Linked DNA regions of Lonchura striata. The protein of the gene in region 1 purifies or fractionates together with the protein of each later gene. This does not show direct contact. Links are inferred from orthologs where the notes say so. Each region holds a gene or a part of one and is shown in the gene's direction. Other genes may lie near its edges.

Region 1 (3,745 bases):
CACTTCCCACCGCCGGCTCCCGCACAAACCGAGCGGCGGCCGGGCACGGAGCGGCGCGCCCCGGCATCGCCCCGGCACCGGCCGTTCCCATGGCGGGAAAAGGCGGGGCGGCCACGGGGCCACCCCCTTGTCCCGGGCTGAACCGCGCGGCCGCGGCGGGACCTGCGCGGCTCCGCCTCGCCCGCCCTCGGCATCATCGCTGCGCGCCAGCACCGGGGCGGGGCGGGCCCCGTTGCCGGGTTACCGCTGTCATCCGCCCGCGCCACCGCCGCGCTCGCTCCCTCTCCCGCCCGCCCTCCCCGCCCCCTCCCGGCGCCGCAGGAAGCGAGCGGATCCCGGGGCGCTACTGCCGCCGCTGCCCCCACCGCGCCCGGCGTCCCCGGCCCGGCCCTGCCTCGCCGCCCAGCGCCCCGCGCCGCCGCTCCCCCCACATGCCGCAGAGCGGAGCGGTCGCGGCGCCGAGCCCCGCCGCCCGGCTGCCCCGCCGCGCCGCCCAGCCGGGGCCCTGACGGCCCCCCCGCCGCTGGAGCCGGGGCCCGCAGTGCATGAGAGGGAGAGCGCGGCGGGGGCCGCGGCCCGAGCCACTCGCCTCCCGGCCGGCGGCGGTGCGGGGACCGGCCCGGGGGGCGCCGAGGGGCGGCGAGGCGGTGGCTCCATGTGAGAGGACGCGGCGGCGCACCTGATCCGCCGCCGGGACAGCCGCAGCCGGGGGCTTTCCTCGAGGGCCACCAGTCCGCAGCCCGCCCGGGCGGGAGGGGGCTGGACCCGCCAGCCCCTTTGAAGTCACCCGGAGCCCGGCGGCAGCCCCGGGGCGGGGGGGGCAGCGGACCCCCTCCCGCCGGGGGAGAGGGGCTCCGCCTCGCCGTCCGCATCGCCCCGCCGGCGGGAAGGCGCGCGCGCCGCGAGCGGAGGGAGAGCCCGGCGGAGCCCGTCCCGAAAAGTGAGTGCGAGCGGGAAGAGCCGCCTTGGGAAGGGGCTGGGTGCCCCGGGGCTGCCGGCGGGGGGCCGGGGGCCGCCGTTTCCCATGCGGCTCACGTTGCCGGCCGCGCACGGTCTGCTGCCCCGCGGTCCACCCGCCGCTCCCGCCCGCCGCGGAGACGGGGCGGGAGGGGGGTGCTCCGCCACGGTCCCCGGGGAGGGCCGAGGTCTCCTCCGCAAGTTCTGCCGCCCGCTTTGTGCCGGGAGCGGCGCCCCCGCGAACAAAGGCGGCGGGCTCGGACCCCTCCGTCCCGTCCCCGCCCGGGGAGCCGAGCGGAACTGCCGCGGCGGAAAGTTGTGCAAGGTTGGGAGCGGAGCGCACGGCCGCAGGGCTGCGAGCCCCGAGGGTTTCAAACGTCCCCCACCCCGCTCCCCCGTTTTCCTTCTCTTCTCTATAGGTTGAGAGGCTCCTAACAGACCCCGCGGCTGCCTCCTGCCCGCTCATTTACAAAACACTTAGGTGGAAAATGTAGCTCTTCTTTTCACGGGAAAACGTTATTGAAGAGTTGCTTATTTTCCATGTAAAGTATTTTGAATGTGTTTTAAAAGCCAGGAGTAGTGTTGGCTCTTCCTGTTTATCGGACTAGTTGCTGCTTCATGAGGCACGAGAGTGCTCTTGCTCTTACTCCAGACCTTACTCCAGGAGTGGTTAAAGAAGGGTCTCGTTTGGGAATGGGACTGTTTGCTTGGGTTCTGTTTTGCTTTGATTTTTAGCATTTCCGCCCCGTGCATAATTTCCCGCTGAGCAAAAACTGTATCAAAACTTGAAATGTTTTAATAGAGTATCTTAACTTTCTTTTAACTGAAGCAAACAACACCTCCGTAGCTTGTCGGGGAAAAAACAATTGTGTCTGCTAGTGTTAAATTGTACTATTTGGGTGTTAAAATTTATACAGCAGTTTTTTACATGTGAGGAGGATGTACTAAAAAATGAAGAGAGTAGGTTGAATGTCGTTTATTTGATGAGACAGTGTTCAGACAGAGATCCAGAAATTGTAACTCTTGTGTGGAAACTGTTGTCTGCATGTATGAGTCCTCTCCACATCTTCCTGGAAGGAGTCTAGAAAGCCTTTGAAGGAGAAGGTTGTAGGGTTTGTCGGGCTTTCCATTAAAAGAAATGTACAGCTTGTGAACATCCTGTGGGCCAGTTGCTAGGCGCCTGCTCTCCTGCGCTTTCTTTACCAGATGCAATTGAAAGCAGAGGAAAACAAAACGTAGCAGAAATGTACGCAGTTGCTGAAATATATGGGTGTGAACAGAAGGCCATACTCCAGCATTCCAGTTATGGATGCTTGCTCTATGCTTCAGTTTGTGCAACGCTTTTGAGAGCACTTACCGCCTGTTTCCCAGCTGTATGCTTCTACATTCTGCTGAGGAGATAGCCTCTGAAAACCTGAGAAAACCTAGACATAGATAGGAATTTTAAGGTAGGCAGGGCATCTGATCTTTCACAGTTTCGTTTTGAGACACAGTTTGCTGAAGGTAAGAAGATTAATTTCTTTAGTTTGAAGTATCTCCATATCTTAAGCTTTCTGTCGTTGCTATTTTGAAAAGGGGTGTAAAGAAGTTGAACTCTACATTTGGTTCATTCCTAGCTTTTCTCAATTGCAGAACTCAGTGGTTAGGAAAGGAAGTTGCATTCTTTTCAGGCCACAGTGTTAAGAAGTTGGTAAGTTCTGTGCTAGATTTAATATCTACAGGAGCATAATGACACCGTGTCTTTTTTTTTTTTTTCCATGTGTTGATTACACTTGTTTTAAGTCACTTTCTAGTCCCAAACTTAAATCTGCCCTTTTTCCATCATCATCCAGTTGTTAATGGCAGCCTGGTTCTGTCTCTTGATGGCAATTATGCATTCTTGCTGGTGTTCCAGGTTCATAAATATCTCAAAAACATATATCACTTCATGTTTTTAATTTTTTTGTCAAGGTTTAGATTTTTCCTCCTACTGCAGCTTATATCTAACCAGTGTAGGTCCTTTGTTCAAGCTGAATAATTTACTAATACAACACTGTCTGTTTGGAAACATAAATGTTTATTAGAAAGTATGTGATTTACATTTGCATTAACTGTTAGAAAAGCTTTTACAACAAATAACTTTCTAGTTTAGGGAAAGAAATACTTTTTATCTTTAGACTTAGGCTGACAAATTAACTTTACTTCCCCTTATGTATGCACGCGGTACTTTGCAAAAGTTTAGTTCATTACTTCAATGGAATTTTTTGTCTCTGAACCAGTAAAAGAAAGGAATGGTGTGTGATGGTTTAGGCCAGGCAATGTTACTAAACAGAGAGGAATGCTACACTTCTGTCTCTTTAAAATAAACAGAGTTTTAAAAATTAGGATGGTATTTAATGAACATGTTTAATCTTCTGAATCTTTTTGTGAAGAGCACATGCAATGGCTGTATGTACATTACACTTGAAATAAAAGTAGCATAAAGATCTTATCTGCAGAGCTGCTTCAGCCTTGTCATATGTGGACTGTGTGTGTCAGGTAATTCTAGAAAGACATGATAAACTTTGCGTCAATTGCTCATGAAAATGCTCTTCCACAACAAAGTATTGTGCTTTAGTCAATTTGTGGAAACTGATGGATGGTTCAGTACTGAAATGCTCCAAGTATTCACTGGATAGACAAAATCTATTTACTGTGATCACTGCTATGGATATTAAGATAGTTTCTTGTGACAGCAAAGACTACAAAGATTTTAGATATTTGTCTGATGAAGACCTACACCCATGTAAGCGTGGAAACTGACTTACTG
Region 2 (3,745 bases), on another chromosome or scaffold:
TGGGGAAATACACCATTTAAATAAACTGCAGTGTATTTGTTTTATTTTGCTGTGCAATGAACAGTTACAACTGGAACAAAATTATTAACTTCAGATTTTATTCTCTTACAGATATCTCTGTTGTCCCTAATACTGTTTTGGTTTTGGTTTTTTTCTTCCTTTCAGGATGTTAATGGCCTGTGTTACCCTTCAAACAAAAGCCACCAACAGACTTTTGCCTACTTGATTGTGGATCCCTGCAAGCGACACGTGAATATTCTGTATCACTGTTTCGGTGAAAGCCTATTTGCAAACTAGTTATAAACCTGGCTGGTGCCCAGTTTTATAATGGAGATTGCCTTCTTTCTGTTGGGCTCAGGTAGACATTGCATAGTTTTCTGACGAGGAAAGCTCTACTCCTTGATGATGTGCTCAGAAGTAATTGTCATTCACTCAGATGTTAATGTGTGGTTAATGACAGTAGTTTTCCGGTATGTGTAGTTCTGGAAGCTGTTTTCTTGGCCGTTTCCCCCCTTCCCTCACCCGTGTTATTTAATAAAAAGTATTTCTCTAGAGGTCTCGTCATTTTTATGAGCCTGCTTTACAGACCCGCGACGCGTATCTGCAGGGGAGACTCTGCAGTCGGTGAAAGCTCAGCGGAATCGGGAGATAGCACGGAGGGGACCGGCGGGAGGGGTCCCGGCCCGATGGCCCCTCCGGGCCGGTGGCAGGGAAGCGCGGCCGCCCCTCCCAACCCCCTGGCGAAGCGGCCTCCTGGAAGTTGGGATAGAAGTTCGGGAGAAATAAAAGTTCTGGTTGGCGGCAGCGGGCGGTGCGGGGCGGTGCGGAGCCGGGCCGGGCCGCGGGCGGAGCGGGGTCCGCGGGGCCGCGCAGCGCCCCCAGCGCCCCGGGCGGGAGGCGGTGCGGGCGGGCGCGCGCAGCAGCGCTGCGAGCACGGGCTCCCTCGCTCGGATACGGTGCGGGCGGGCTCAGGAGGGGCGGAGCCGGCGGCGGAGAGTGATTCGGGCGGGCGTAACTGCGAACTTTTGTTTGGTGTGTTGTGTGAGTTAGTTTCCGCCGCCGGGACAGAGGCGCCGGCCGGGCTGGGCCGGGCTCGGGGAAGCGCCGCACGGCCGGAGTTGTTTTGCCAGTTGCCGCGGGCGGGTCGGCTTCCCGACCGAGGGGTGAGAAGCACCGGCGACAGCAGGACGAACCCGCGGCCCGGGGAGCGGGGCATGCGGGACTGGGAATCCGGGCTCTGAGCCGCCGAGCCCCGCCAGGGAAGCGCCGGGGGGTCCCGACGGAGCCATGGATCCTGGGCAGCCTCAAACGCAGCAGCCGCCGCAGGCGGCGCAGCCCCCGGCCCCGCAGCAGCAGCAGCCGCCGCCGCAGCCCCCTGGCCCGGTGTCGGGGGCCCCGGCCGGCGCGGCGCAGCCCCCGGGGGCTGGGCCCCCTCCGGCGGGGCACCAGATCGTCCATGTGCGGGGCGACTCGGAGACCGACTTGGAGGCGCTGTTCAACGCCGTGATGAACCCCAAGGGCGCCAACGTGCCACACACGCTGCCCATGCGACTGCGGAAACTGCCCGACTCCTTCTTCAAGCCGCCCGAGCCCAAGGCCCACTCCCGCCAGGTGAGGGGGAGGGAGGGCAGGGGCCCGCGCCGCGGGCGGGCGGGGGCAGCCCGGCCGGGCCGAGCTCCCCCTCCCCGCCGAGCTCCTCCCGGGGGAGGCGTGTGGGGGAGGGGGCCGGGGCGGGAATCCGCCAGCGGGGCGGGGGGCGCCCGGCCGGGGCTCTCCGCCGCCCCCACACCCCTTTATTTGTTCTCCCCCTGGGGCAGGGCCGCCTCCCGCGCCCCGAGACGCCGACGGGGCCGGGACCCGCGGCGGGAGGGCGGGCGAGCGCCGGCCCCGTCCCTGTCTCCGGCGGGGCCCCGATCTCCACATCCGCTCCTTGGCCATCTCGGCCTCGACCGTGGGGGTGAGCCCCTAAAACTTGGGTGAAAACGCTTCGCTTGGAATGTCGCTTTGCGGTACAATTCCCTGCCCTCTATAGAAGGGGTCGATGAAGTGGTGCCAAACCTACACCCCCTCGCCCCGTCAGACAGTAAATATGGATGTGATTTTCCACCATTTCAGGACGGCGCTGTTTTGAGTGGGATTAACCCCCCACGTACACACGCACGCACATCCGAAGTTAATTGCCGAAGCAGACGCCGGGTCTGCCGGCGTTCGGGGTCCGCCGGGCGCAGCGCCCGCGCCCCGGGCAGCGGCGACTGCAGGCTGCGGCCGGGGCTCGCAGCCCTGGGGCCTCGGCCGCGCCGGCCCGGGGAGGGAGCGATGCGGGGCAGGGCCGCAGCGAGCGGGGGAGGGATGCGGGGCAGGGCCGGGAAGGGGGCGGGCCAGGGCCGGGGGGAAGGGGCGATGCGGGGGCAGGGCCGGGGAGGAGCGGGGTGGGGTCTGCGGGGCAGGGTCTGTCTGGCCTCCGGCAGCGTTTGGTGTTTAAGCAGAGGGATTTTTGTACCAAGACCTAAGTGCTGGTGTGAATACGAGCGAAAGCTAATGATGTTAACCAGCGTTTTGGATGGAGACTGTGCCTACCTAGTCAAGTGTTATTAAGTAATGAACTTAGTTACTAAGCTATAAAATAGGTTGTATTACTGGCTGTTGTCACTTTATCTATGTAGCCAGTAAGGGTGAAACTCGCTGTGTACTGGTGCCTGGTACCCGTGTTGTTAAGGGTCTGTCAACATTTCCATTATTAAACTTCTGTTTTGAACGATTTATAGCTTGACTTCAGAAGTTCATTCCAGGCTGAACCTTGGCACGTACTCTCACAGCCTAGGAGTTAATTCATTTTCCAAATACTCAAAAAAAGCAGTCTGGCCTTCATATAGGAAGACTGAAAAGAAATTGGAAGGGGTGGAGCTGATCTGCCTCTTTAGTTTTGCTAGCTTTTGAGTTGCAGACCTTTAATAATGTACTGAAATCCAGCAAGGAATAAGGGTTTATGTATAGTGTTCTCCCAACTTGTGCAAATCTCATTGCGGTTCCATTGTGTACAAATCTGAATGGGTAGGCATTTGTCTAACACTTGGTGCTGTGTCTTGTTAAATACATTAACTGCAGTTAAATAGCTAACATGTTTGAAATGCTCTAAAAGTGTGTGATAGTCATACAACTTTCGGTTGTACTTTTAGGCTTAGCCTTACATTCCTTGTGTATGTTAATCTTTGCCTGTAAATCATACTTAGTTCGATCTCTGTTCCTAGTACCACTCAGTGGTTCCTAAAACATAAACTTGGAATCCAGCTAAAGCAAGAGAGAATCATTTGCTTCATTGTGGACTATTTTCATTTTTCCTTTTTGTTTAGTTGTGCCACATAAACATTCTGCTTAAAGAAAAGATTTCTATTTTCTATAATTCTGTGATTCTCAGGAGTTAAAATATTATAATTCCACTTGATTTACTACTTGCTTCTTTTGTCTGCATATAAGTGAAAACTGATTTGTTTCCACTTGAACACATGGAACTTCATGTGTGCTTGAAGGTTTCCATTTGAACACATGGAACTTCATGTGCTTGCACACATGAAGTGTGAGGGAGTGAAGCAGAAGTGTAACAGTGTGTAAGTGGGTCCTCTTATGGTGCAATACCTTGTAGAGAGGTGTGACAGGGATTGATACATGCATCTCATTATAGATGCCAATGTTGTTCTGGTCTGTCTATAAAACCAGTTAATTGGTAAATATATTTTTAAAAGCCAAT
Region 3 (3,745 bases), on another chromosome or scaffold:
ACTTTAGCTGATTGAATAAAGGGAACGCCTGCAAATGGCAGGTAATTGTTGTTGCAATAATAGCAATCGATTGCTCATTTTTACCAAATGCCTTCTGTACATCTCTGCCCTCTTTATATTCCCAAGCACCAAACACCTCGGATAAATTAGACATTAATATCCAGTACAATTTTAAAAGGGTTGCAAGTGGGGGTACAGGTATTTTAATTTTAAAATCATGTGGCATCTCCATCTCTGTTTCTCCCTAATTCCTATCACTTGGACTATGCTGTGCAATCCTTGTCCTGAATCCTTCTCTTTCCTACTTACAGCTTTGTGGTCTCAAACTATTTAAAACTGAATGATAGAAAGAAGCCCACCTTTAAAAATTTAGTGTGCTGGGGGAATAGGAGGACATCCTTAAGTTCTCTCCATGAACTTCTGTCTTGCAGATGGGATTTATTTCCCACAAAGACATCTGGTTTTGGGGCCTGAGATTTTACTGCCAAACACTGGAACAAAGCTGGTGTGGCACCATATGGAATAGAATCTTTTATAGTTTCCTTGTTCTTAATATAGAATGTACTGCAGATACTTGGCAGAATCACCACTTTTTCTTCTTTTGCTTTCTGTTGTCATTTTCATTATTTAAATAGATGCATTCAGGGTGCAGATTGCTTAGACAAATAGATGGAAGAATTTGGTAAATTCCAAAGAATACACATTAAGTATTTGGCAATATATCCTCAGCAAACAGCTCTTATGCCATCACACCGCGTGTCTGGCCATCTCACCTAAGTGTATTTGGAATCATTGGCTCCTTCCAACCAAGAGGTTAGAAGTCTCAAAGACATTTACATTTCTGTAAGTTTAGTGTAGATCACAGATGTCCTCTCCAAGTGTGCTACGTGCTATTACTCAAGACTATGAGCATGGAGACAAATGCTAGGAAGGAATACGTTTTAGGAACGGCTTTACTTGGAGCTCGGAAACAGGCATTTGCAGGAAACCAAGTCCGGCAGGCAAGTACGGCAAGTCAAAATGGGAAGGTTGGAGCTGTTGCTGCCTTTGGCCGCTCACCCCAGCCAAGGCAGAAATGGCCGAAACTCTGATGAACCAGCAGGTGCTCAGCTTGGTTTTTCAAGATAAGCTTGTACTGACTGTGGTTTTATGGTACCTGCGGCCTGTGTGAATAGAGTTTACCTGTCCGAGTAACTTCTATTTATGCTCAGGTGTCTTCAGACACTCTCGAGTTCGGGCTCGGGGCAGCACCGAAGCGGCCGGGGAGCACGGCTACCTGCCCGGCGGCCGGTGCGCCCTGCCCGGCGGCCGGGGAGCGCGGCGCCCTGCCCGGCGGCCGGTGCGCCCTGCCCGGCGCTGCGGGGCAGCCCCTGCGCTCGGCGGGCGGGCAGCCCCGCGGCCCGGGCCGCACTCCCGGCTCCGCGCGCCGCTCGGGCCCAACCGCCTCGGCCAACGGCCGGCGCGCGCTCGCGGCCGGGGCGGGCGGGCGGCGCGAGGGCGCGCGCACGCGTTGCCATGAGACGCGGGCGGCGGGGGAGGGGGGTTACGTGGTGACGTTAATTCTATATGAGCGCGAGCGGCGGGAGCGCGGGTCCTTTCACCGCCGGCCGCGCGGCGCCTCCGCCTCGCTGCTCCTGAGTCACCGCCGCCCGCCGGCCGCGCAGGTACCGCCGGAGCGCGGCCCCGCCGCCGCCGCTCCGGGCTGGGGGCACGGGGGGCACGGGGGGCGGGCGGGGGGCGCTGGGCCCCCGCTCCCTCGCGGGAAGGCCGTGGATGCCGGCCCGGCCTAGCGGGGCCGCTGTGCTGGCGGGACGCGGGGGGCCGGCGGTGCCCGTGCCACACCGGGTACCCCCCGCGCCGCCCGCGGGGCGGCCGCGCCGCGCTGCTCGCCCCCCGGGCCCGCAGCGAGCAGCGCGGCTCGCCGCCTCCCGCGCGTCCGTCCGCCGCGCCCCGCGGAGCGCCCGGGCCGCGCTAGGCCGGGCCCGTGGCGCGGCCGGCGCCGGGGGGAGGCGGGTCGGCCCCGCAACACGTGGGCGCCCGAGCGGGGCCGCGCCCGGCGCGGCCGGGGAGCGGGAGGCTGGCGGGGCCGGAAAGCGGCGCGGGGAGGAGCGGGTGCGCGTCCGGCCGGCCGCGGGGAGGGCGCGGGAGGGGCTCGGGGCCGGTCCGGCGCGGGGCCCCGCGCGGTGTGTGCGCACATGGCGCGGCGGGCAGCGGCGGATGGCAGCGCGCCGTGGCCTTGTGCCGCCTCCCGCGCCTCGTTCCCGCTCCCGTGCGGAGCCGCGGCGCGGCTGTGCTGTGCCGTGCTGCTGGCAGGGGGACCCAGCGATTCAGCCAGCAGGCGGGCAGCTCCCGCGTCCTGCTTCACGGTAGAGTGGTGTCCGGGAGTTCAACATGTCGCTTCTCCGGATGCCTGTTAGCTGGTATCACCCTAAGCAGTGTCCCCGAGGAAGGCTGAGAAACCACCTGGAGGATTTAGTAACTACAAGTGGAAATACTAACTTGTCTTCAGCATTTATCTAGAGCTATAAAGCATACTCCGTATGTTCCATATGTATAAAACATACACTTGTCTGTTCCATATTGACTGTTTAGCGTCCTTACACTGCCAATACTTGTGAGATTTTCAATATTGAATTAAAAAGCCTACCTCATTTGCTTGCCAAAAGAAAACGCAAACCTTTTTTCAAACAACTGGTGTAATAATAATACAGCAGCACCTTCCACACTTTATCTCCAAGCTTTCTGCAGTTAGGTGTACGTTTCAAATCCTGTTGAGATACACTTAACATCTCATGTTCTATCTCATTTGTGGAGGGTAAGAGAAATGGGCATGGTGTCTGCAAGGTATGACAAATATTCGGCTCAGGGCCTCTTGGGATTTTAACATCTGCTGGTAGATGCTACATTAATTAGGCAGGAGATAGTGCCTGATAATTTTAATTACAGTCATGAAATTAAACTTGAGGTAAGAGTTAAGGCCTAAGGCTGTGAGCTGCTGAAGGTGGTTCTTGACAAAAATGTTAGTAGCTTTTTAGCAGCCTTCCTGCTGAGCCCATATTACAATGGTACACTTCAAAGCATGGGAGAAGCACTGTACTTTGATTGAAGCAAGCTGAGTGGTTTCCAGTCTCTTGTAAATCCAGAAATTATATTAATCCTTAGGGGAAGATAGCATTTAAAATATACGTACATGGAAATTTAAGTGACTTGGATGCTTGTATATGAGACAGAAGTTGAGGCTGCTCAGGCTTTGGGTATCTGAAGCATTGATAGAAGTGCTTAGAATAGGCCTCTGACACCTGAGCTTGTGTGTGTGTGTCGCACTTAGTCCTGTGAGTGACACATGTTAGCAGTCTTACTGCCCTTCACTTTTTCTGTGCTTTGTGACAAGTCATGGCGATAATTTACTCTTGGTTTCTGAGGACTGAGTATTGTAGAATGTTGGTCCTGTGCACAGGTGATAGGTTGGTGTTTTTCAGAGCTCCTGGTCTTTCTCGGACTTTGACAAAGCTAGGAAGAGACTGTTGGGAGCACACAGAAGTACGGTGCAGCATCTGTGCTGCCAGCCCATTGTTGCAAGAAGTGCCAGATCTGCTGCGGCGCTGTTTACATATACACAGTAATGCTCCCACCATCCTTGTGCATCATTTACCCCCTGCGTCACTCAGAAATTATTCCTAGGAGCAGGTGGGGGATTTGTTATGGTGACTGCTTGCTGAACACCCTGGAAAGGGGTGGTTTGTTT

Evidence for each region.
Region 2: the proteins of FBXW7 (region 1) and YAP1 purify together in Homo sapiens (affinity purification with western blotting; 4 studies listed by BioGRID). This does not show direct contact. The link is inferred for Lonchura striata from reciprocal best matches to the Homo sapiens genes FBXW7 and YAP1.
Region 3: the proteins of FBXW7 (region 1) and NAP1L1 purify together in Homo sapiens (affinity purification with mass spectrometry, with the first as the bait; 3 studies listed by BioGRID). This does not show direct contact. The link is inferred for Lonchura striata from reciprocal best matches to the Homo sapiens genes FBXW7 and NAP1L1.

Annotation. Positions count from the first base shown.
Region 1 is NC_134606.1:43,089,916-43,093,660, forward strand, and holds the start of FBXW7 (F-box/WD repeat-containing protein 7), read left to right. Parts: upstream 1-798; 5' UTR 799-940; intron 941-3,745. UniProt on the Homo sapiens protein: Substrate recognition component of a SCF (SKP1-CUL1-F-box protein) E3 ubiquitin-protein ligase complex which mediates the ubiquitination and subsequent proteasomal degradation of target proteins.
Region 2 is NC_134604.1:42,222,102-42,225,846, forward strand, and holds the start of YAP1 (transcriptional coactivator YAP1), read left to right. Parts: upstream 1-1,029; 5' UTR 1,030-1,287; coding exon 1,288-1,611; intron 1,612-3,745. Other genes in the region: CFAP300 (cilia- and flagella-associated protein 300), read left to right, coding at 166-297. UniProt on the Homo sapiens protein: Transcriptional regulator with dual roles as a coactivator and corepressor. Critical downstream regulatory target in the Hippo signaling pathway, crucial for organ size control and tumor suppression by restricting proliferation and promoting apoptosis.
Region 3 is NC_134607.1:46,986,605-46,990,349, reverse strand, and holds the start of NAP1L1 (nucleosome assembly protein 1-like 1), read left to right. Parts: upstream 1-1,533; 5' UTR 1,534-1,664; intron 1,665-3,745. UniProt on the Homo sapiens protein: Histone chaperone that plays a role in the nuclear import of H2A-H2B and nucleosome assembly.